4 linked regions of the Coturnix japonica genome follow. The protein of the gene in region 1 interacts with the protein of each later gene in a biochemical or structural test. Links are inferred from orthologs where the notes say so. Each region holds a gene or a part of one and is shown in the gene's direction. Other genes may lie near its edges.

The links. The genes of interacting proteins can lie anywhere in the genome.
Region 2: the proteins of SMAD2 (region 1) and CREBBP form a complex in vitro, tested with the Homo sapiens proteins (2 studies listed by BioGRID). The link is inferred for Coturnix japonica from reciprocal best matches to the Homo sapiens genes SMAD2 and CREBBP.
Region 3: the proteins of SMAD2 (region 1) and ZFYVE9 are reported together in a solved structure, tested with the Homo sapiens proteins (2 studies listed by BioGRID and IntAct, with this or other methods). The link is inferred for Coturnix japonica from reciprocal best matches to the Homo sapiens genes SMAD2 and ZFYVE9.
Region 4: the proteins of SMAD2 (region 1) and ERBIN form a complex in vitro, tested with the Homo sapiens proteins (2 studies listed by BioGRID). The link is inferred for Coturnix japonica from reciprocal best matches to the Homo sapiens genes SMAD2 and ERBIN.

The regions. Positions count from the first base shown.
Region 1 is NC_029547.1:1,337,272-1,343,079, forward strand, and holds part of SMAD2 (mothers against decapentaplegic homolog 2), read left to right. Parts: intron 1-1,895; coding exon 1,896-1,985; intron 1,986-3,099; coding exon 3,100-3,293; intron 3,294-3,918; coding exon 3,919-4,053; intron 4,054-5,808. UniProt on the Homo sapiens protein: Receptor-regulated SMAD (R-SMAD) that is an intracellular signal transducer and transcriptional modulator activated by TGF-beta (transforming growth factor) and activin type 1 receptor kinases.
Region 2 is NC_029529.1:11,011,261-11,016,104, reverse strand, and holds part of CREBBP (CREB-binding protein), read left to right. Parts: intron 1-999; coding exon 1,000-1,161; intron 1,162-1,425; coding exon 1,426-1,707; intron 1,708-3,081; coding exon 3,082-4,844. UniProt on the Homo sapiens protein: Acetylates histones, giving a specific tag for transcriptional activation. Mediates acetylation of histone H3 at 'Lys-18' and 'Lys-27' (H3K18ac and H3K27ac, respectively).
Region 3 is NC_029523.1:21,731,970-21,735,885, forward strand, and holds part of ZFYVE9 (zinc finger FYVE domain-containing protein 9), read left to right. Parts: intron 1-632; coding exon 633-738; intron 739-1,187; coding exon 1,188-1,364; intron 1,365-2,187; coding exon 2,188-2,349; 3' UTR 2,350-3,916. UniProt on the Homo sapiens protein: Early endosomal protein that functions to recruit SMAD2/SMAD3 to intracellular membranes and to the TGF-beta receptor.
Region 4 is NC_029547.1:14,167,359-14,172,486, reverse strand, and holds part of ERBIN (erbin), read left to right. Parts: intron 1-27; coding exon 28-198; intron 199-1,115; coding exon 1,116-1,298; intron 1,299-3,147; coding exon 3,148-3,262; intron 3,263-5,128. UniProt on the Homo sapiens protein: Acts as an adapter for the receptor ERBB2, in epithelia. By binding the unphosphorylated 'Tyr-1248' of receptor ERBB2, it may contribute to stabilize this unphosphorylated state.

The DNA.
Region 1 (5,808 bases):
TTCCAGGCATGATTTACCTTAGAAGTATGTATGTTAGTCCTTTATTCTTCCAGAATCTGTATGGACTAAAGCAAACCTGCATCTCTTAAGAGGTTGAAGACACATTAGAAAAGTAACTCTTAGGAGAGGATACCTCCTGTTTTGAAGGGGGGCACAAATCCTAGCTCATCAGTTTTTCTGCAGCTCCTTTTCCAACACTCCCATGTGCTTCTTCACCACCTTCCTTCTCTGTGGTGTCCTGGGTCCTAATTTACACCTCCGTCATACTTCGGAGTCATTTCAGATTACTGTTAGGTTTTGAACTGTGGTATCAACTTTGAAAGTTCAAATAATTACAGAGAAGAGGTTAATAATATAAAATACTGTACCTATTTGGCATACTCTAAGGCTGTAGCACTTCTGTATGTTCCCTGGTGTCCCACAGGCTGACTGTGTGTCTTCAGGGCAACAATTCCAGTCTTTGCATGTCCAGTCTTTGCATGTCTGCTGGCAACCCACCATGCTGGTAGAGGCACCTTAGGAGTAGCAGAGGTGGCAGGCACTGCTGAAGCAGTGATGGTCACTATCCTTCTGCCCCCTGGGGTTCTGGAGAGCTATGAATTGTCTTAGAGCATTTCACCCTCCCTGGGATGGTATTTAATTGAGGTGTGTGAGACAGGCAGGAAGGGGACCAGACCCATTCCTTCCCTTTCTCTATGGAGAAAGGGAAAAAAATTAAGTTTTAATAGAGTGTCCATGGAATTGTGGTTGTCTGTGCTAGAAATGCTGTTAAGAGCAGTGTGTCAGCTGGGGTTGGTAACTTAAATGTAAATCTCTTTTCTAAATCAGGGCTTGGGTGAACTTTATGTCCTGTCTGGTACTTTTCAGAGATTGTTAACTTCAAAGCTGAAATAGCAGCCACATTTCTGGCTTTGTGAGTGGCTCGTCGCCCAAGTTTTCTCCATTTCTGAGTCTCACTGTGTGTTACTCATGTAAAATAAATTGTCCTTTCTCAGTGGTCACAGATCACATCTGTGGTGGACCTGAGATGGGCCCATACTTCTGAGAACATGCTGCCCATTTATACACGTGTGCTGTTCTTTGCTTTGCCTCAATCTGCTTCTCTTTCAACTTGTGCTTGTGTTACTGGAGGTTCCTTTTTTTGAACTTCTGTGCTTGTCACTGAACCAGTTTCCAAAAGTTCTCTCTCATTTCCTCCTGTTTGATTTCACAATTAATATTTTGTTGTTCTGTAGCTGGGGCTACACTGTAAGTCTGTGTAAAGCGTACGTCTTGTATGCAGTAGAAAATAACAAAAATAACACCAGTGATTTAATCAAGGAGAGCGGAGAAATTAGTGAGAAGCATCACTGCAATATGCTTTTCTTCAGAGCCCAAGCTTTCCTGTATTGAGAAAAGCAGTAAATAAGAGTGTACATGGAGAATGCGGTGGCTGAATGGTGGTACCTTGGAGCCAGGCTGTGATGGTTCAGTTCCAGATGCACATGGCCCATGATTGTAATTGTAGGGCAGCTTATATTGAAAAACAAACAAAAGCAAAAAAGAAACCAACCCAGAAATGACCCTTGAAAAGAGAATTTTGGTAGGAGCGAGGCTGAGGATGTTTTGCCTGTTTTAAGGTGCATTGCAGCTGTATCAACTACTTAAAGTCAGAATTTGTTCACCCCTTAAAAACATGATCATTTACCTTGAGTCACGCGTTCCATTTTGATAGCCTCCTTCATATAGAAAATATAGCATGCGACGTCCATCCAAGTGCAAGCCTACCAGTGCTCTATCTTCTATGTGGAAGGAAGTACTCTGTACATTTCTCCATGTTTGACATCATGGTGTTTTGAATAACCACGTTCCATATTCATACCAATTTTTTGTTTTTGTTTTCAATTTATGCACAGCACTTGCTCTGAAATTTGGGGACTGAGTACACCAAACACGATAGATCAGTGGGACACAACAGGCCTTTACAGCTTCTCTGAACAAACCAGGTGAATATTCTGCCCTCTCTCCATCATAGAACCTTGTGGGAGGGATTGGCTTTGGAGGGTCTGTCATGGGATGCTATAGCTGTAAAATAGACTGAATGCTTCTTAGGCCTCAAGACATTTGCTTGCCAGTGTAGCAAACCAAGTATTCTCAGCTGATGTTTTGACCAATGAAATCCTAATTGCGGAATACTCATTTTTCACGCCAGTTGAAAGAATGGGAAGACTTGTTAATGCAAGCTCTGATGGGATTTGGTATTTCTATTAACAACGCTCGGCTACTTAATTCTTTAGACCTAATCTTACAAAGTGTTTAAACTGCTTTGTATGCCATGAGCTTTCAGTTAAATCTCACTAATTGGCTCTGATACGAGCTGCTAAAGAACTGCTTGTAAATTCTTCTGTAGTTAACAGGGGGCAAATTCTGAGCAGGGTCTTTATTTTTTCATACCACATTGCTTGATTTGTGTACTGAGGTTTGTCTCCCATCCCATAACAGTCATAAACATCTGCATTTGTGTAAGCATATGCAGTCTGTCTTAAAACTAGCAAAACGTTTTCAGCTGGTAGCAAGGCAGAGGAAGGCAAGAAGATAAAATGTACAGCCCCTGTGAGATGTGTGTTCATACTTGTTGCATCGCAGTCACACCATGTGGATCCCTTGGGCAGTTGACTGTTTAGAGGCTGATTTGCAGTCCCCAGGGAATTATTAAACTTAAAGCCGTAAAGCATCCATGCCATGGCAGAGCCTTGAGGTTTAGAAACTTGAAGGGACTGTTAAGTGTGTGATTTTCTTTCAACAACTGTCTTCTGCATTTAAAAAATGTATATGAAATGATGATCCCAAATACTTGGCTGGAGGTAAAGTGGCTTTTAATGACCCCTAAATTCACTGGCAATAATTTGAGCAGCTCAGAAATAAGTTAACGCTGTTTGATGCCATAATTTTTCTCCCATTTGATGCATTTTAACAAGAGTACACATGTCACTAGCAGTGTCAAATCTCTGAATTCTGAAAGTGAGCACAACTGCCCTTCCTGTGTGTGTACGCTGTTGACTGAGTGATGATGAGACAGCGGGCAGCCTGTAAATACCTCTCAACATCTTTCCCATGTAGATCTCTCGATGGCCGACTGCAGGTATCGCATCGTAAAGGATTACCACATGTCATCTACTGTCGTCTGTGGCGCTGGCCGGATCTTCACAGCCACCATGAACTTAAAGCAATTGAAAACTGTGAATACGCTTTTAATCTTAAAAAGGATGAAGTATGTGTAAACCCATACCACTACCAGAGAGTGGAGACACCAGGTAGGAAGTCTGCTTCTGGCTTTATAGCACTGTCCTTGTGTATTACGAAGGGGACATGGTTTAGTATATGGGTGAGCTGGGGTTGGACTGGCTGATCTTAGAGATCTTTTCCAGCCTTCATGATTCTGTGAGTGGGCATGCTGGGAGTGGGTTGATGGTTGAACTAGATGACCTTCAGTGGTCTTTTCCAACCTTAATGATTCTGTGATTCTGTGTACTTGTTCAGCATATTGTTTCAAATGAAAAATATAGAAGGATGGGATGTTCTCATGCCAGAACTGCAAGATGGTTAAGGATACAAGTTTGGAGAATACCATCTGCTGAAAGTTTTTAATAGGAAATAAACTGAAAAATCTTTATCAATGTGTTGAACGCCCCAATAAATGCTTCCAGTAGTGCTAGCAATTTCCAACTGGCAAAGGATGGTACAACGTGAAAACGAGAAGAGAAACTGAGAATGGTTCCCTAATGTGAACTAGTCATGTTCAAGAAGAATCTGCTTGTCCTAGTAACTAGCAGACACACCTGAAGAAATTGTTAGAAGGCTTAGATTTGTTTTTCGTTTCACTTCATAGAAGTGTGAGTTTGGAGGGTCCTATTAATATTTTGACTTTTTCTTTTCCAGTCTTGCCTCCTGTACTAGTGCCACGGCACACTGAGATCCTAACAGAGCTTCCTCCTCTTGATGACTACACCCATTCCATTCCTGAGAACACTAATTTCCCAGCTGGAATTGAACCACAAAGCAATTACATACCAGGTATTTTCTTACCTCCCAACATGAACAGTACGCTTATCGTTGCAGCAGTGGAGTAAAGATGGTAACTTCATCTTCCTAAGTGATCAGATGAACTGAAAGATGTAGCAGTAAATTAAATCTTGTTGATTTCCTTTATTAATTCCAGTGGAACACCTGAAGATGAAACACTGACTTAAAATTGCTTGATCTGTAGCTCATAATTGATTGGGCTCTGGTTCGTGTATTTGTTACTACCATGTACATACAGTTTTGCTGTTAGTATTCAGTATTGAATTAATAAAGAATTCTTCTTCCTCCAAAGAAGCTGGCATGCACAACTTCTTTGGGCAGCCTGTGCCAGTGCCTCACCACCCTCTCTGTGTAAAACTTCCCCAACACCTAATCTAAATCCGCCCTCCTTCAATTTAAAACCATTGCCCCTTGTCCTATCACTGTCCACCTATATAAAAAGTTGATTTCCCTCCTGATCATAATCTCCCTTTAAGAAGTGGAAAGCCATAATGAGTCACCCTGGAGCCTTCTAGACTGAAAAAGCCCTGCCCTGCCTCCTCAGCCTGTCTTTGTGGAGGGTTGTTCCAGCCTTCTCATGATCCTTGCAGCCCTCTTCTGCAGCCCTTTCCAAAAGCTCCATATCTTTCCTGAGTTGAAGTCTATAAACCTGAACACAGTACACCAGATGAGGCCTCACAAATGCAGAGAAGGACAGCCGTCTCCCTCACTCTTCTGCCTCCCATCTTCTCATACAGCTCAGGATCCTGTTAGCCAACAGTCCTAAGACAGCGCCCTAGGGAACACCACTCATCACCACTTCTACCTGGACACAGAATCACTGACCACAGCCCTCTGGCTGCCACCATCAAACCAATTCCTAATCCACTGAATAGTCCAGCCTTCAAAACAGTATCTCTCCAGTTAAGAGATCAGGATGTGATGCAGGACTATGTCAAAGGCCTTGCACAAGTCCAGGTAGAAAACATCAGTTTTCTTCTGTTTGTCCACCAATGCCATTATTCCATCATAGAAGGCCACCACATAGGCCAGGCATGATTTATTGTTGGTGAAGCTGTGCTGGCTGTCTTGGATCACCTGTTCATCCCTCATGTGTCTTCCAGGAGGATCTGCTCCATGATCTTCCCAGGCACAGAAGTGAGGCTGGCTAGCCTGTAGTTCTCCCAGTTTGCTGCTACTTCAGGAAGTTTCCAGAAAGATAAAACTTAGCCAAGCTGCCATTTATGCATAAGCATTTAAGGCAATTACATTTCAGCACCCCAGTGCCGAAGTAAGCTGATAATTCCAATCCTGACTCAAGAGGAATGACTGCCTTTAAACTCAAACATGTGATGTACACATTTTATCTGCATGTCTAATGCAGGATGCTACATGTGTTTCCTGTAATTCTATCTGAAAGCTGAAATAGAACCAAGAAAATGTCAGTGAATTTAATCTCCTTTGTTAAATCAATGCCAAATTTGTTGCCACATAGAGAGGTTGGAATTGGGTGATCTTTAAGATCCCTTCTTACTTAAGCCATTCTAAGGTTATGTGACAAGATTTTTAAAGAGCTATTCAAGACACAGGAACTCGATGTTGCTTTCTTCACTTATGTATGCTATTTTGACTTAGTCTGAGTTCTTGTGATGGTGTTTGTGGACAGCTTACTGCAAAGGCACCATTTGGAAATCCAGGAAATGAGCTCAGGGAGCTCTAGGTAGCTGTTTGCAAGAAGCCTGTCCAAGGTGATTGCAGGTACTCACG
Region 2 (4,844 bases), on another chromosome or scaffold:
GTTACTGAAAGCCTGAGGTTTGGCAGGGAATTCATGTCTAAACACAGTGGGTAGAAGGAAGGGTGGCAATGAGGCCTACAGACTACATGCAGAATTGGTTCCTCAGTTAGAATATTTTTGCTTGGTGTGAATAAACACACTTGCAATAAAACCTGTTGGCCTGTACATAACGTTCAGGAAACGTTCCTCTATGTGTGTGTGTACAGGAGGATTGTTCTGCACATCCTACAGACCAGCATGGCAGCAGGTTGGGTTTTCACTGGGCGCTGAGTGCTCTGTTACAGGGACAGGAGGCTTCTTTCTTTAATTTCTATTTTGTTTTTCAGGCACATCAATCTCTGTTTTCCCAGGTCACCCAAACAGCACCATCTGCTATTTTTCACCCTGCTTATATTTAGCATTCAGTCTGTGTTCACTGTGGCCTGTGCTGTGACTTACACACAAGTGAAGGCATTGAGTGTTTGGTATTTGGGGGTTTTTTTGGCGTTGCTGATGCAGCAGCACATCTTCAGGGTGGGGTGAGACATGTTCTGGTGGTTTCACATCCTGCCTTTTCCGTGCATTAACTCTCAGTTTGTCGAATTGAAATTAATGAATTAGAACTTGAGTGTCAAGTCCTGAGTGCACAGCAAAGCAAACGGCTGCACTCACAGGGTCTGTCAAAGTCTGTTTTATTTTTAACACATTTTATTCTGTGTAAGACTTGCAAGGACAGGCAGTGGAGCTGAAGCGCGGGGAGAAGACACAACTGAATGTATGTCTGTGCATAAAAAGAAGTAAAAACCTGGGCTATTTTTAAACCACATTTGAAATCTGTTTCGTGCTGGGTTGGCTTTTGATTTCTGTCCTGGAAGATGGGATGTATTTAGCACAGTGTGGTTCATCTGCAGGCACTGGAATGAAGCTGCATTACTGACAGCAGCTGCACCTCACTTTGTGCTGCAGTGAACAGGAGAGAGCTCTGTAAAGCTGAACGTCTTCCCCGTGTGTTTCTTGCAGGGAAGTCAGGGTGACAGCAAAAACGCCAAGAAAAAGAACAACAAAAAAACCAACAAGAATAAGAGTAGCATCAGCAGAGCGAACAAGAAGAAACCCAGCATGCCAAACGTGTCCAACGACCTGTCTCAGAAGCTGTACGCCACCATGGAGAAGCATAAAGAGGTACCGTCAGAACGTGCAGAGTGCAGGGGAAGCTGGTTCCTGTAGATGGAGGTGGGGTGGTAGAACTGGAAACCAGGAGGAGCTAAAGCTTTTGGTTACGCTGAAGGTTTCTTGTAGTCGTGTAACAACATATTGGAGAGATTGCTATAATGGTGTCCATTAGATAATGGTTGCAGCGTTGTGTTTCTGCAACAGAACATGAGCTTTTCCTGTGAGATAACCTGACGTCGTTGATTTATTGCCCCTCTTCCCATTTATCTGCAGGTCTTTTTTGTGATCCATTTACACGCTGGGCCTGTCATTAACACGCTGCCCCCCATTGTGGACCCCGACCCGCTGCTGAGCTGCGATCTGATGGATGGCCGGGATGCCTTCCTCACCTTAGCCAGAGATAAGCACTGGGAGTTCTCCTCGCTGCGCCGATCCAAGTGGTCCACGCTCTGCATGCTGGTGGAGCTCCACACCCAGGGGCAGGACCGCTTTGTTTATACGTGCAATGAGTGCAAGCATCACGTGGAGACCAGGTGGCATTGCACTGTCTGTGAGGTATGTGTAGGTCACCTGGGATGGCTTCTCACCCGAGTCTCCTCAAAATTAAGCCTGTTCTGGTGTTAGCAATGTGAAGCTTTAAGGGAAGGCAACTGCCACTGTGGATCAATCTCTTCTAGAGTAGGTGCCTTTGTTTTTCTGGATGGGAAGCTGCCGTGTCCTAGAATGGTTACAGCTGAATTGCTGCCCTTGTCATCAAGCTCCTCTGCACATCCGGGCTTCAGCTTATCAAGACAGAATTTCAGGGCTGACTGACAGGGTCTGACACTGTCAGAGTAACCTGAATCTGCAGGACTGGCGTATCCATGTTGAATGGATGACCACGGGAGCAGTTGGCTCCATGTTGTATGTGGTGCTTGGCTTTGTATTGAGTGCAGCCAGGCACATGCTCAGGCTGCTGTGCAGCTGGGAAAAGGGGCTTCCAATTCAGCCCAGCTTTAGAGGTTTCTTGCCCTTTGGATCAACCCAAATAATTGCTTCCTAACCTGGCTCTGTACTTCTGATGTCTGGCCCTATTGCAGTGGAGATCACTTCTACTGAACTGCATTAGAGAGCAATTACACGTGGAGTCACACGGGTGGACGTGAGGGGCAGGTCTCCTCCATGGGGCTGTTGGTGACCTCTGGCTGCAGCTGAACTAAAAACTGTTGAGTAAATGCAGCCTCGTTCTCACACTGGAAGTTATTGCCAGGCTTGTGGTTGAAGAGTCTTAATTAATCCCTCCGAGGGGAGCACTGAAGAGGGCTTCTTGAGGCAAGGCTGGAATTAAGTGGTGAAAGGAAGTGTGGCCATTAGGTTTCTTCTGGCTGCTTCTGTGTGAGGGGAATTGTCTTCCTCTAGCAGTCAAATAAAGCACTCAGGGCAGTGAGAATGGGGTGTTTGAGGAGGTTTTTAGCTAAGTGTCCGTCTTGCCATGAAACTGGCACTTGCTTCAAGGGCTGTCTTAGAGATTAAAAAACACATTGCAGGTCAGGAATTAATTGTTAGTCAGTAATTACACCAAGGATAGTTAAATGGAGAGCAGATCCTTGGTTCTTAGCACTTAGGGTAGAGCTGTTTGCACTGTTTTGGCTCTCCTTGTGTAACTTGTCTGGTAGCCATTCCAGAGATGTAAAATTTACCATCATCAAAAAGGAAGGAAAAAACCCAGCAGACCAAACCCTGCAATGTATGGAAGCGACGGCACAGAAGCGGTGCCTGATTGCATTCTTGCCCTCAGTGGAGCCTGGGACTGTCTTGCTTCTGTTGGGCCATGTTTGTGCCCACTGTAACCCAGATGTGCTTCCACATCGGGTTCATGTTTCTCCTCCCTCCTAGTGCCGCAGGTAGCACTTCACAGGCAACTGAGCTCTGCATTTTCTTTGCTTTCAGGACTACGACCTCTGCATTAACTGCTACAACACTAAGAGCCATGACCACAAGATGGTTAAGTGGGGCCTGGGCCTGGATGATGAGAGCAACAGCCAAGGAGAGCAGCAGTCAAAGAGCCCCCAGGAGTCGCGCCGGCTGAGCATCCAGCGCTGCATTCAGTCCCTCGTCCACGCCTGTCAGTGCCGCAACGCAAACTGCTCGCTGCCATCCTGCCAGAAGATGAAGCGGGTTGTCCAACACACCAAGGGCTGCAAGCGCAAGACCAACGGCGGCTGCCCGGTGTGCAAACAGCTCATAGCTCTTTGCTGCTACCACGCCAAACACTGCCAAGAGAACAAATGCCCCGTGCCATTCTGTCTCAACATCAAACACAAGCTCCGGCAGCAGCAGATCCAGCACCGCCTGCAGCAGGCCCAGCTCATGCGCAGAAGGATGGCGACCATGAACACCCGAAACGTGCCTCAGCAAAGTTTGCCTTCTCCTACCTCAGCAACGCCTGGTACCCCCACACAGCAGCCAAGTACGCCGCAGACACCGCAGCCTGCTCCCCAGCCCCAGCCTTCCCCTGTAAGTATGTCACCGGCCGGCTTTCCCAGCGTCTCCAGAACTCAGCCCCCCACCACTGTTTCGACAGGAAAACCCACAAACCCGGTTGCGGCGCCTCCACCTCCTGCTCAGCCGCCACCGGCCGCAGTGGAAGCGGCTCGGCAGATCGAGAGAGAGGCCGCCCAGCAGCAGCAGCAGCTCTACAGGGTCAACAACATCAACAATGGTTTGCCCCCTGGTCGCCCGGGGCTCGTAAACCCGGCGGTGGGTTCGGTGAGCCAGATGCAGCAGGTCGGCATGAATGTACCGCGGCCCAACCCCGTCAGCGGCCCGGTGATGTCCAACATGCAGCCGGGGCAGTGGCAGTCGCCCCCAATGCCGCAGCAGCAGGCGATGCAGCCGGGAATGGCGAGGCCGGTGATGCCGATGGCGACGGCGCAAGCAGTGGCGGGGCCGAGGATGCCGGGCGTGCAGCAGCCGCCGCGGAGCATCCCTCCAAATGCACTTCAGGACTTGCTGAGGACCTTGAAATCACCGAGCTCTCCGCAGCAGCAGCAGCAGGTTCTTAATATCCTTAAGTCCAACCCTCAGCTTATGGCAGCTTTTATAAAGCAAAGAACGGCCAAATACGTGGCTAACCAGCCCGGGATGCAGCCGCAGGCGGGCATACAGCCCCAGCCCGGCATGCAGCAGCCGCAGACCGGCATGCAACAGCCGGGCATGCACGCGCAGCCGGGATTGCAGAACATGAACGCGATGCAAGCGGGAGTGCAGAGACCGAGCGTTCCTCCCCAGCAGCAAGGGATAGGAGCCATGAACCCGCAGGGACAAGCGATCAACATCATGAACTCCGGCCACAACACTAGCATGGCAGGCATGAACCCGCAGTACCGAGAGCTCCTGAGGAGGCAACTATTGCAGCAGCAGCAACAGCAGCAGCAGCAGCAAGGAGGGGCTGGCATGGCGGCGGGGATGGCCGGCCACAACCAGTTCCAGCAGCCCCAAGGACCGGGTGGTTACCCTCAAGCCATGCAGCAGCAGCGGATGCAGCAGCATATATCGATACAGGGGGGGTCCATGGGACAGATGGCTCAGATAGGACAGCTGAACCAGATGGGGCAGCCCGGCCTGGGGGCGGACGGCGCTCCCAACATCCAGCAGGCGCTGCAGCAGCGGATCCTGCAGCAGCAGCAGATGAAGCAGCAGATCGGCTCTCC
Region 3 (3,916 bases), on another chromosome or scaffold:
TAAGGAATCAGCGTCTAAAGGGATGGCCTTTCTGTATGTACAGACACCGTGTCAGTCTCAGGTTCTGTAATTAAATGTTACAGAACACATTCTGTGGTGTATAAGCAGTGTTTTAAGGTATCACGGGCCTCCACCAACATTACAAATGGCTAAAAAGCAAATCATTTGAAGCACATCCTGTTGCTCTTTTTACACCTGAGTTCAATCCTGGTGCAGAGCTAAGCTGGAAACCTGCAGGAAGCTCCATCCTGAGCTCCACATGTCAGAGGGTTGGGGTTGCAGCAGACAGCAGGACTGCTGTGCCTCTTGGCTCTTCCCTTATTATGAACATCCAGGCTTAGTATCAGCATTGCAGCTGTACACAGGGTCACTTATTTTGGCACCCTCTGTTCAAGGAGTTCCCTGCTGAGGCTGGTTTTGGTCTGTGCCCCATTTAGTTGATGTGATAAGTTGCTTTGTTGTAGTGGTTCAAGTTGCAGTTATGAAAACAACCTGCAGCAATTCTATTGAAGTCTAGGTGTACCAGGGGCACTGTCCTGTCCTTTGATCTGTGAGATACTTTTCCTTTACAATGTCCTCTATTAATATTTCCCGCTAAGTAGGAATTTACCCTTCTCCCTCCACTTCTGCAGTGTTGTCAGCCCTATTGATGGCAAATCAATGGAGTCTATAACAAGTGTGAAGATATTTCATGGCTCAGAGTACAAGGCAAATGGAAAGGTCATCCGATGGACAGAGGTAAGTGAGGCAAATGGAGCATTTGGGGCCTGCAACTCCAGCAGTCTTTCTTCATCCTGCACTCCCTCCATTACCAAAATTAGGGAGCAGCAGGAACCAAATCTATTCTTCCTACAGCTTGCTGTGCTACTCTTCTATTCCCAGATCTACCTGCAGGGTTAGTGACAGCAATACACATTTCTTCCTCAGGGTGAAAGTGTGGATTTTCTGCACTGAGCACCTGTTTAAAAGCAAACAGCGTACAATAGGTGGTGCCTTTCTGGAAAGAAGCTTTAGATGGAACCAGAAGGCTTTGGAAAACCTCTGTATAGTTATCTGTTGTTTGAGGGGTAGTTTGACCCTAGGGTCTTTTACTGATGTTCCTCAAGAAGCTTTTCTTGAGGCCTTCTTTCAAAAAAAGCTTTGAATGGCGTTTAATTAACTTCATGTTCTGTATCTTAATTCTTCAGGTGTTTTTCCTGGAGAACGATGAGCAGCACAGCGGGCTGAGTGACCCAGCTGATCACAGCCGACTGACTGAAAACGTGGCAAAAGCCTTTTGTTTGGCTCTCTGTCCTCATCTGAAGTTGTTGAAAGAAGACGGCATGACTAAGCTTGGTCTGCGCGTTACTCTCGACTCAGATCAAGTAAGTCTTGAACAGTTCCAGCTTAATGGCTGGTGCTGGTTGGTTGCTTCCCCAAGCCCTAAAGAATATAATGAATACACTGCCTCAAACCATTTGGTTGGCTGAAGTACCACCAGTACTGGGATGCTTGTCTGGTACTGCTGTTAGGTGATGTTTGGGGCAGTCTGTTGCCATGGGAGAGCCAGTGCATGAACCATCATTAACAGTGAGCCTGTAGCAGCTCCTGCTCTGTAGTCAAACCTGGAGCAGCCCTTGGAGGTGTGGGCCAGAGAGACCTGCTGAGAGATGCTGTAAGCTGGGCCTTTCCACCAGGAGCTGAAGAAGGGAGTAGAATAAATGTGTTGTGGTGTGAGCATAAAATATTGTTTACAAGTATGGCTGTTCTTAAAAGATCACTTTGCTTATGAGGCAGAGAAACAGATGGGAGCTTCCCTTGAGAGAGCTCTGCAGCAAACACTACAAGCAGAGAGAAGGGGCTTTTGGCACACCAGCTGGCCTTGCCTTGAGTGAAGTGTGCTTAGCATCATCCAGGTCTTAAACACTGCATGGCTTAATCTGATAGTGCAGGGTATGGTTCCTGCTGCTCTGGAAGCTCTGATTTGGTAGAACAGTGGGGGATAAGAAAAAGCTGCTTTTTCCCCCAGGCAGTCAGTGGGAACAGAGAAGACCAGGGTTAGGGTTGGGGTACATGGGCCCGACTTCCCCCCAGCTGAGATGGGGGCATCACACACAGCTCATCCTCCTGCACAGCACTGCCCTCACTACCCCCAGCCTGCTCTCCCCTTCTGTGTAAAACCCACTGTTGTTGCTTTGTATTTTTTAGGTTGGTTATCAAGCTGGGAGTAATGGACAGCCACTGCCTTCTCAGTACATGAATGACCTGGACAGTGCCTTAGTTCCAGTGATTCATGGAGGGGCGTGTCAGTTGAGTGAGGGGCCAGTCATAATGGAGCTCATCTTTTATATTCTGGAAAACATCTCATAAGAGGACTTCATTTTCTGTTCAGACCTGTTCCAGCAGCAGTTGTATCTGAATCATTTGCACTTTAAAACTGGAGAAATTAAGCTTTTGGTAACACTATTAAGGGGAGGTGGGGGGTGGCGGGAGGGACAGTTGTTCCATAATTCTAAATCTTCTATGCATTGTCAACAACCAGAGGATCAGGGCAGCTTCTATACTACAACATGGCTATGCTATCCTTGCAGCTAATAACTTCTGTTACTGTTTAGAAAAATGCTCGTGTTTCCAGACTTAGAGTACACGACTGTAAATGCTCAAACGAGTGCAAAGATCACTGGGGCGTAAATAAAATGTGAAACTCCCATCTTGTACTGTTTGTAGATGGACAAGTAAGAAACAACAATCAAAACCTCCATTCTGACCTCATCATAATGCCGTCTGTGGTTATTCTGTAGACATTAAAAAATAACGTTTACATTATTTTGACCAGATTATTGGTTGAAATGTGTCTGGAGCAGCCCTTGGAGATGTGGAACGATTACCCAGCCATAACTATGTTTGTATGTGAGAAGGGCAGGTGTCTCAGAACGCAGTATTACATACGCTGCAGTTGTGTGTGACATAGGCTAGTTTACTTTTCTCCCCCGCTCTATTTACTGTAAAGAAAACAACGACAAACTCGTCACCTCAGCCGATTTCTGTAACCTTCTACAACACCTCTGTTATCTCTGCTTTGTTTACAAACCTGTTTGAATTTCAGATACCTGTCCCAAGCAGAGGAATTGTCCTAAAGTGCAGTTATTACCCCTTACCCCAGTAGGTCCTGCTTTTTAAAGAAACACCCAGGGCAGCTTTAAGTCTCCTCCCTGCTGTACGCTGTAGTGTAACGCTAGTGTCATGTAATACAAGACAGCTCGCACTTCTTAGCAGCACCATGTAAAAGCTTACCTGTGATAAAAGCATAGAGTGTCTGTTTCTGCATGTTCTGCTGAAAAAGGCTCACTGGTCAGCTCTGAAACCCTGCACGTGGCCCAGAGCTCGTGGTCTCACCTGGGAGGGTGCTGGGGAGGCAGCTGCTCCCAGCTGGCACCGCAGTGTGGAGCTGGAACTGACACAGCTACAAGAACTGTGATTCCATAGTCTGCCCAAATGGAATCGTTCCAGTGGGAAGCTGCTGAGGAGCAGGGGCTGCCTGGTGGGCCAGGGAAAGCAGCTCCGAACCCCTCCCAGGAAGGGGGTGAACATTTTCCCCCTGCTGTCTATACAGAAGATTAGTGGGGAAAGGGAAACTACTTACACTGCAGACAGTATCTCAGACCTTGCATTGTCCCCTACTTGCAATCAGTTCTGCTGGATGCAGTGGGGATCATTTTGTTCCTGCAGTGTATGAGCGATGCAGGCATCCTTCCAAGTAGAAGAAATCCAAGGCTACCGTGAGACCAACGCTATGTTTTTTAAACAAATATACAGCATTAGCTGGGCAAAGGAAAAGGTAACTGTACACAGTGATGTATCTCATGTAAAGCCAGCACCATATATGTACAGAGTGCATTTGTGAATAAATGGCTACTGCTTTGTAAAAACGCTTTAC
Region 4 (5,128 bases), about 13 Mb from region 1:
TTAGATTATTACTTTTTTATAACACAGGAAGGCAATCTGAAGAGATATCCAACTCCATATCCTGATGAGCTGAAGAATATGGTCAAAACAGTCCAGACAATTGTACACAGGCTAAAGGATGAAGAGTCTACTGAAGATGTTGCCAAGGAATCAAAACGAGAAAGCCAGACAGTTTCTGTAAAAGATGTGGGGGTAAAGGTTAGGTGTAATACTATCTTCTGACTTCACTGAAACTTCCAAATGTCTAGATTGCCATTGATTCTTTTTAGTCTTCTCTCTCCTCATTAATGCTCCACATTAAAGAGCAGGGCTTACCTCTTTGTCGCCTTAAGAATCACAGAATGTCAGGGATTGGAAGAGACCTTGAAAGATCTTGTAGACCTAATCCCCCTGCTGGAGCAGGAACACCTAGACCAGGTCACACAGGAACGCCTCCAGGCGGGTTTTGAATGTCAGTGAAGAAGGAAACCCTGCAGCCCCTGTGGGCAGTCCATTCCAGTGTTCTGTACCCTCACTGTGAAGAAGTCTGCAATAGTTACCTGCTTTGTAGTAGAGATTTCCCTCTTAACACTGACAACAAAGAAAATGGCTTGATTCTCAGGGAAATAAGAAGTACAAATGTGTAATGGAGCTTATTTCCTAAATTTCTGGAGGAGTTCTTATTTGACCACCAAACTTGAAAAAGGAAAGTGGGGATCATTTCTAAGAATCATAACTGTTGCCCTCACAACTGATGGTTTTGCACGTTAAGTTGGGAAGGCAATAGTAGCAATTTGGTGTACAGGTCACTGACAGCTTGATGTACTGTAATATGTGGCAGGACTGTTTGGCATGTCTTCGATGCTGACTTGTCTCATTGTAGATACACTTGGCTTTTTTAAATTAAACTGGAAGTTTAATGGTATGAAGTGACCCCTGTAAGGGTGAGAGTGAAACCAATTGGAAAAGAGTGAGGGCTACAACTGAATGGTCTGGAGAGATTTCTCTCTACCTTGTGTATTTCATACTTGATCATTTCAAACATCTTCTGTTCCATAGTTTCCCATACTATTATTTCTGAATGTTTCTGAAAAAGTTTTCAAATGTTTTTTCTACGAATGTTCTTAATCCTGTAGACTTCAGAAATTGTTCCAATGAAGAATAAGGCTGATGAGAGAAAGCAGTATTCAGCAGGAAGCTCTGTGCAGAAGCCTACTGAACCAGAAGCTGAGCACTGCACTGCAAATTCGCAGATGGCTGCACTTGTTAAAACCTTGCAGAACACAAAAACAGTTGTTAACCATGAAGACACGCTTGAGGTGAGGCATTGTGATGAACACTATAGCAGTCAAAGAGTTGTGCTGGTGTTGCATCAGACTTGTTTATAAGAGAAATGAAAATTCATGTTGACAAAAGCAGAAAATTTCTATCCACAAGTACTGTTAGTACAGAGGGATTTGTAACTGTAAATGTCTTCCTAATGCAGTATTGTTCTCACCTTAGCTGTATTATAAGTGCAAGTTGAAAAATGTAAGAAGTTGTTCATAATGAAACTGTAGGCATTTAGAGAAAAATAAGTCAAGCGCAGAAATTGATCTGAGTACTAAGCTCTGGAAAAGATTCTTTCTTAAATGGAATTTTCCAGTTTCCACTTGATTTTCAGCACCTCAGGAAATGATTGATTGTGATTGTCTCTGAAATGCCAAAGTATCTTGTCAGTAGGAGCAAGCAAAATCTTGAATATACAAGTGAATTGCCTGTTCATTTAAAATAACAAGTGGGCTTAAAAATATGTTTTTGTATGTATTTAGTAGTAAGATATCTTAAATATGACTTGTGTTACAGAAATCAGATACTCGTACTTTCTGAACTCTTTGTACATCTGTGACAAACATGCATATATTTTTTAATTTAGAGCATGTTTCAGCATTAGTATCATTTTGGAACTTGTCAGTTAATCACTTGCCAATCACAGCATGTGAAATGTTTTTTGGAGTTTTTGCAGTAGTTTCACAAACTGATAATTTTGTGTGTGCGTTGTGCAAGCAGTGGAGCATGCATTTATCATGCGATAATGAGACTTAATGGCCAGCCGTTGTGGCTGTTGCTGGGTCTTTTCCCCCTGGCGTGTTCCTGCTATTACATGCTTTCATAAAATACTGGTTCTAACAGTTTTCTGCAGTTTAAAAACATTACTTAAAAAAAGAAAACTACCAGTTGTCTGGCAGTGGCAGTCATTCTTTTAAACCTGGCTGTAAGCCAGTAAGGAAATCAGGCAGTTGTTTGTAGTCAGCCGTGGATAGCAAATTCCTTACTTCCTCATAGTAACTTGCTAGTAACTTTGTCTCCATCCACATAACTTTATATGCATAAAAGCTTTTCCTTTCAATGTTAATTACTCTTGTTATATATCACACCTAAGGGGAAGGGCAATATGGCAGAGGTAGCAAAGAGATTATCTGTTCTTATTACAGAGGAACAGGGTTGTTATAAAGTTGGTCACAAAGTGTTTGCTACTTCTCAGTTTTACTGTCCTTTACTGTAGTCCAAAGAACAAGGTAGTTAGTGTCATTGAATTGGTGGTACTGTATTTTGTAACAGAATTTTCACTTAAAGGAAGAAAAGAAAGATTTTTTTTTTCATTACAGAGAATATTAATGAAAGAAAATTGTATTCTTGAAGATGGTAGGAGTATGTGGGCCAGGCAATAGAATTCTGAATCTCTTGTGTGGCTGCTCTTGCAGGCAGCTTTGTCAGTTTGTCTCTTTCAGAAGTGCACTGAGATCTGATGGTTAGGATCTGAAGAATTCTAGCCTAGATCTATTCAGCGTCATTTATTCTTGAAGTTAAATATCTTCTCTTCCATTTGAAAGTTTACCCTAGTGTGTGAATTTCAAAATGAAAACCTAAGCTGAAGATACCAATTTTTGCTATCATTCCCTCTGAGATCATCACACACAAAACAAATGTGTGTGTTATGCATCTTAAATATAATTGAATCGAAAAAGTTAAATTCATTTGATTTGCTACATAGTTGCTATGTTAGGTCTGTGTTATTTGTTTATCTTTACTGTTTATTAGATAGGATGATGATTTAGATCAGTTTTACCTAACCTTTAGCCACGTATTTAAAATGCTCTCTATATAAAACTGTTTTTCCTTTTGCAGGAGTCAGAAGAACTCTCCTCTGATGAAGAGATGAAAATGGCAGAAATGCGACCACCACTGATAGAAACTTCCATCAACCAACCAAAAGTGGTAGCTCTTAGCAACAATAAAAAAGGTTAGATATTATAAAAAGGAGTACTGTGTGATTCTAATAATTCCATGACTCAAAATGTCTAATTTTCCCATTTAAATGCTGTGAAAGGTGATTACATGTGTCTGTTAAAGGAAAGATGGCCAGTTCTCTAGTTGAGCAATTAATTTGTTGAAATCAGAGAGAGTCTTGAGAAAGAAGTTTTGATTGGAAGCCATCTTGCCCATAGTGACCATGAAGTAGTTGAGTGAAAGGTGGAGAACTACCACCAAAACTTCAACCCTGGATGTGGGGAGAGCAGACTGCTCAGAGAACTAGTCGGTGAAGTCCTTTGGAGGATTGCTTTTGACAACAGTGTGGTCTGTCAGTGCAGGTCAGTTTTTAAGCGCTACATCCTAAGATCACAGGAACAGGCAATTCCAAATGCTGGAAAACAGACAAACAGGGCAGAAGGCTGGCTTAGCTTAGCAGGGATTCTGTTTTTGAACCTAGGCAGAAAGTGTATTGCCACTAGAAGTAAGGTGTGAGGCAGTGTGGGAGGACTACTTAGATACTGTTTGACACTGTAGGGAGAAAATTCTTGTGGCCAGAGCTCACAGTTGAAGCTGGTAAGTATTGCAGGGGATAAAAACAATGGTTACTTTCAAATATATTAACATATGGACTGGGGAACAAGAAGATGGAGAGCTGCCCCATGGAAATGTTGAATCTGGGCCAGGAGAATGCCCAAACAGCCCAAAGGGCCAACTGTACCCTATGGTGCACCAGAACCAGCATTTCCACTGCGGGACGGGAAGGGATTGTCCTGCTTTGCTCTGTGCTGTGCAGCCTTTCCTCACGCACTGTGTGCAGTTTTGTACCCACAGTACTAGAAGGGTACAAAACTATTATCGCATCCAAAAGAGGGCTTCAAAGATGGGGAAGGGTCTAGAAGTTAAGATTTATGAGGTTCAGCCCAAAGAGGGGAGAGGCCTCATGGTGGCTTGCAGCTTCTTCATGAGAAGAGCAGAGGAGCAGGTGCCCATCTCTTCTTTGCAGTTATAGCAACAGGACCTGATGGAAAGACCTGGAGCTGTGGCAGGGGAGGGTCAGGCTGGGGATTAGGAAGAAATTCATCCATGGAACGGCTGGGCATTGAAACAGGATCCCAATTCAGCTGCCAGAGTTTAAGAAGGATTTGGACAGTGCTCTCAGACATAGGATTTGAATTTTGGGTGTTCCTTTGTAGAGCCAGGAGTTGGACTCTGTGATCTTTGTGGGTCTCTTCCAGCTTGGTATACCCTTTTGAGTTTATGAATATAGGAAAGACTCCTGTTATATCTCGAGTATGACTGAGAAAGCTGTGCTGACATTCCCATTTTGTTAATTTTTGTCAAAGGGGAAAAAGAATGTTTTGTGGTTTTGAGGATTGTTAGCTTGAGTACTCTCTCAGTAGAGAATTGCAGAAAATGGTGTTTTCCTTGGAAATGTTCCATACTTCTTCCCACATTTTTTTTATTATTGCTGCTGTTTTTGGCAGCAGTATCACTTGTTTTAATTTCTCAGAGAAGCTGTGCTCTCTTCCTAAGTTTTAAGAATAAACTTATTGCAGCTCTTTTTCCATAATTACCTTACTCTTTTATTATTCTTTCCTCTCACAAGAAACATCTGATCACTGTTTTTGTTAACTAAGATACTAAGGTTTATATTTTTTCTTTGGAAGATAATTTCAGTCTGGATAACCATTTCCTTTGGGGGATGGGGAGGGGAGGAACTAAATTTTTAAGCCTGAGAGGTATGAGAGGTAATTGTATTTTCTCCATATGATGTCCCCAGTCCAGAACTTTCCAGGATAAAAAAAAAAAAACAAAACAAAACTCTTCTGGCTGTTGTATGTAAGAGAATAAGATT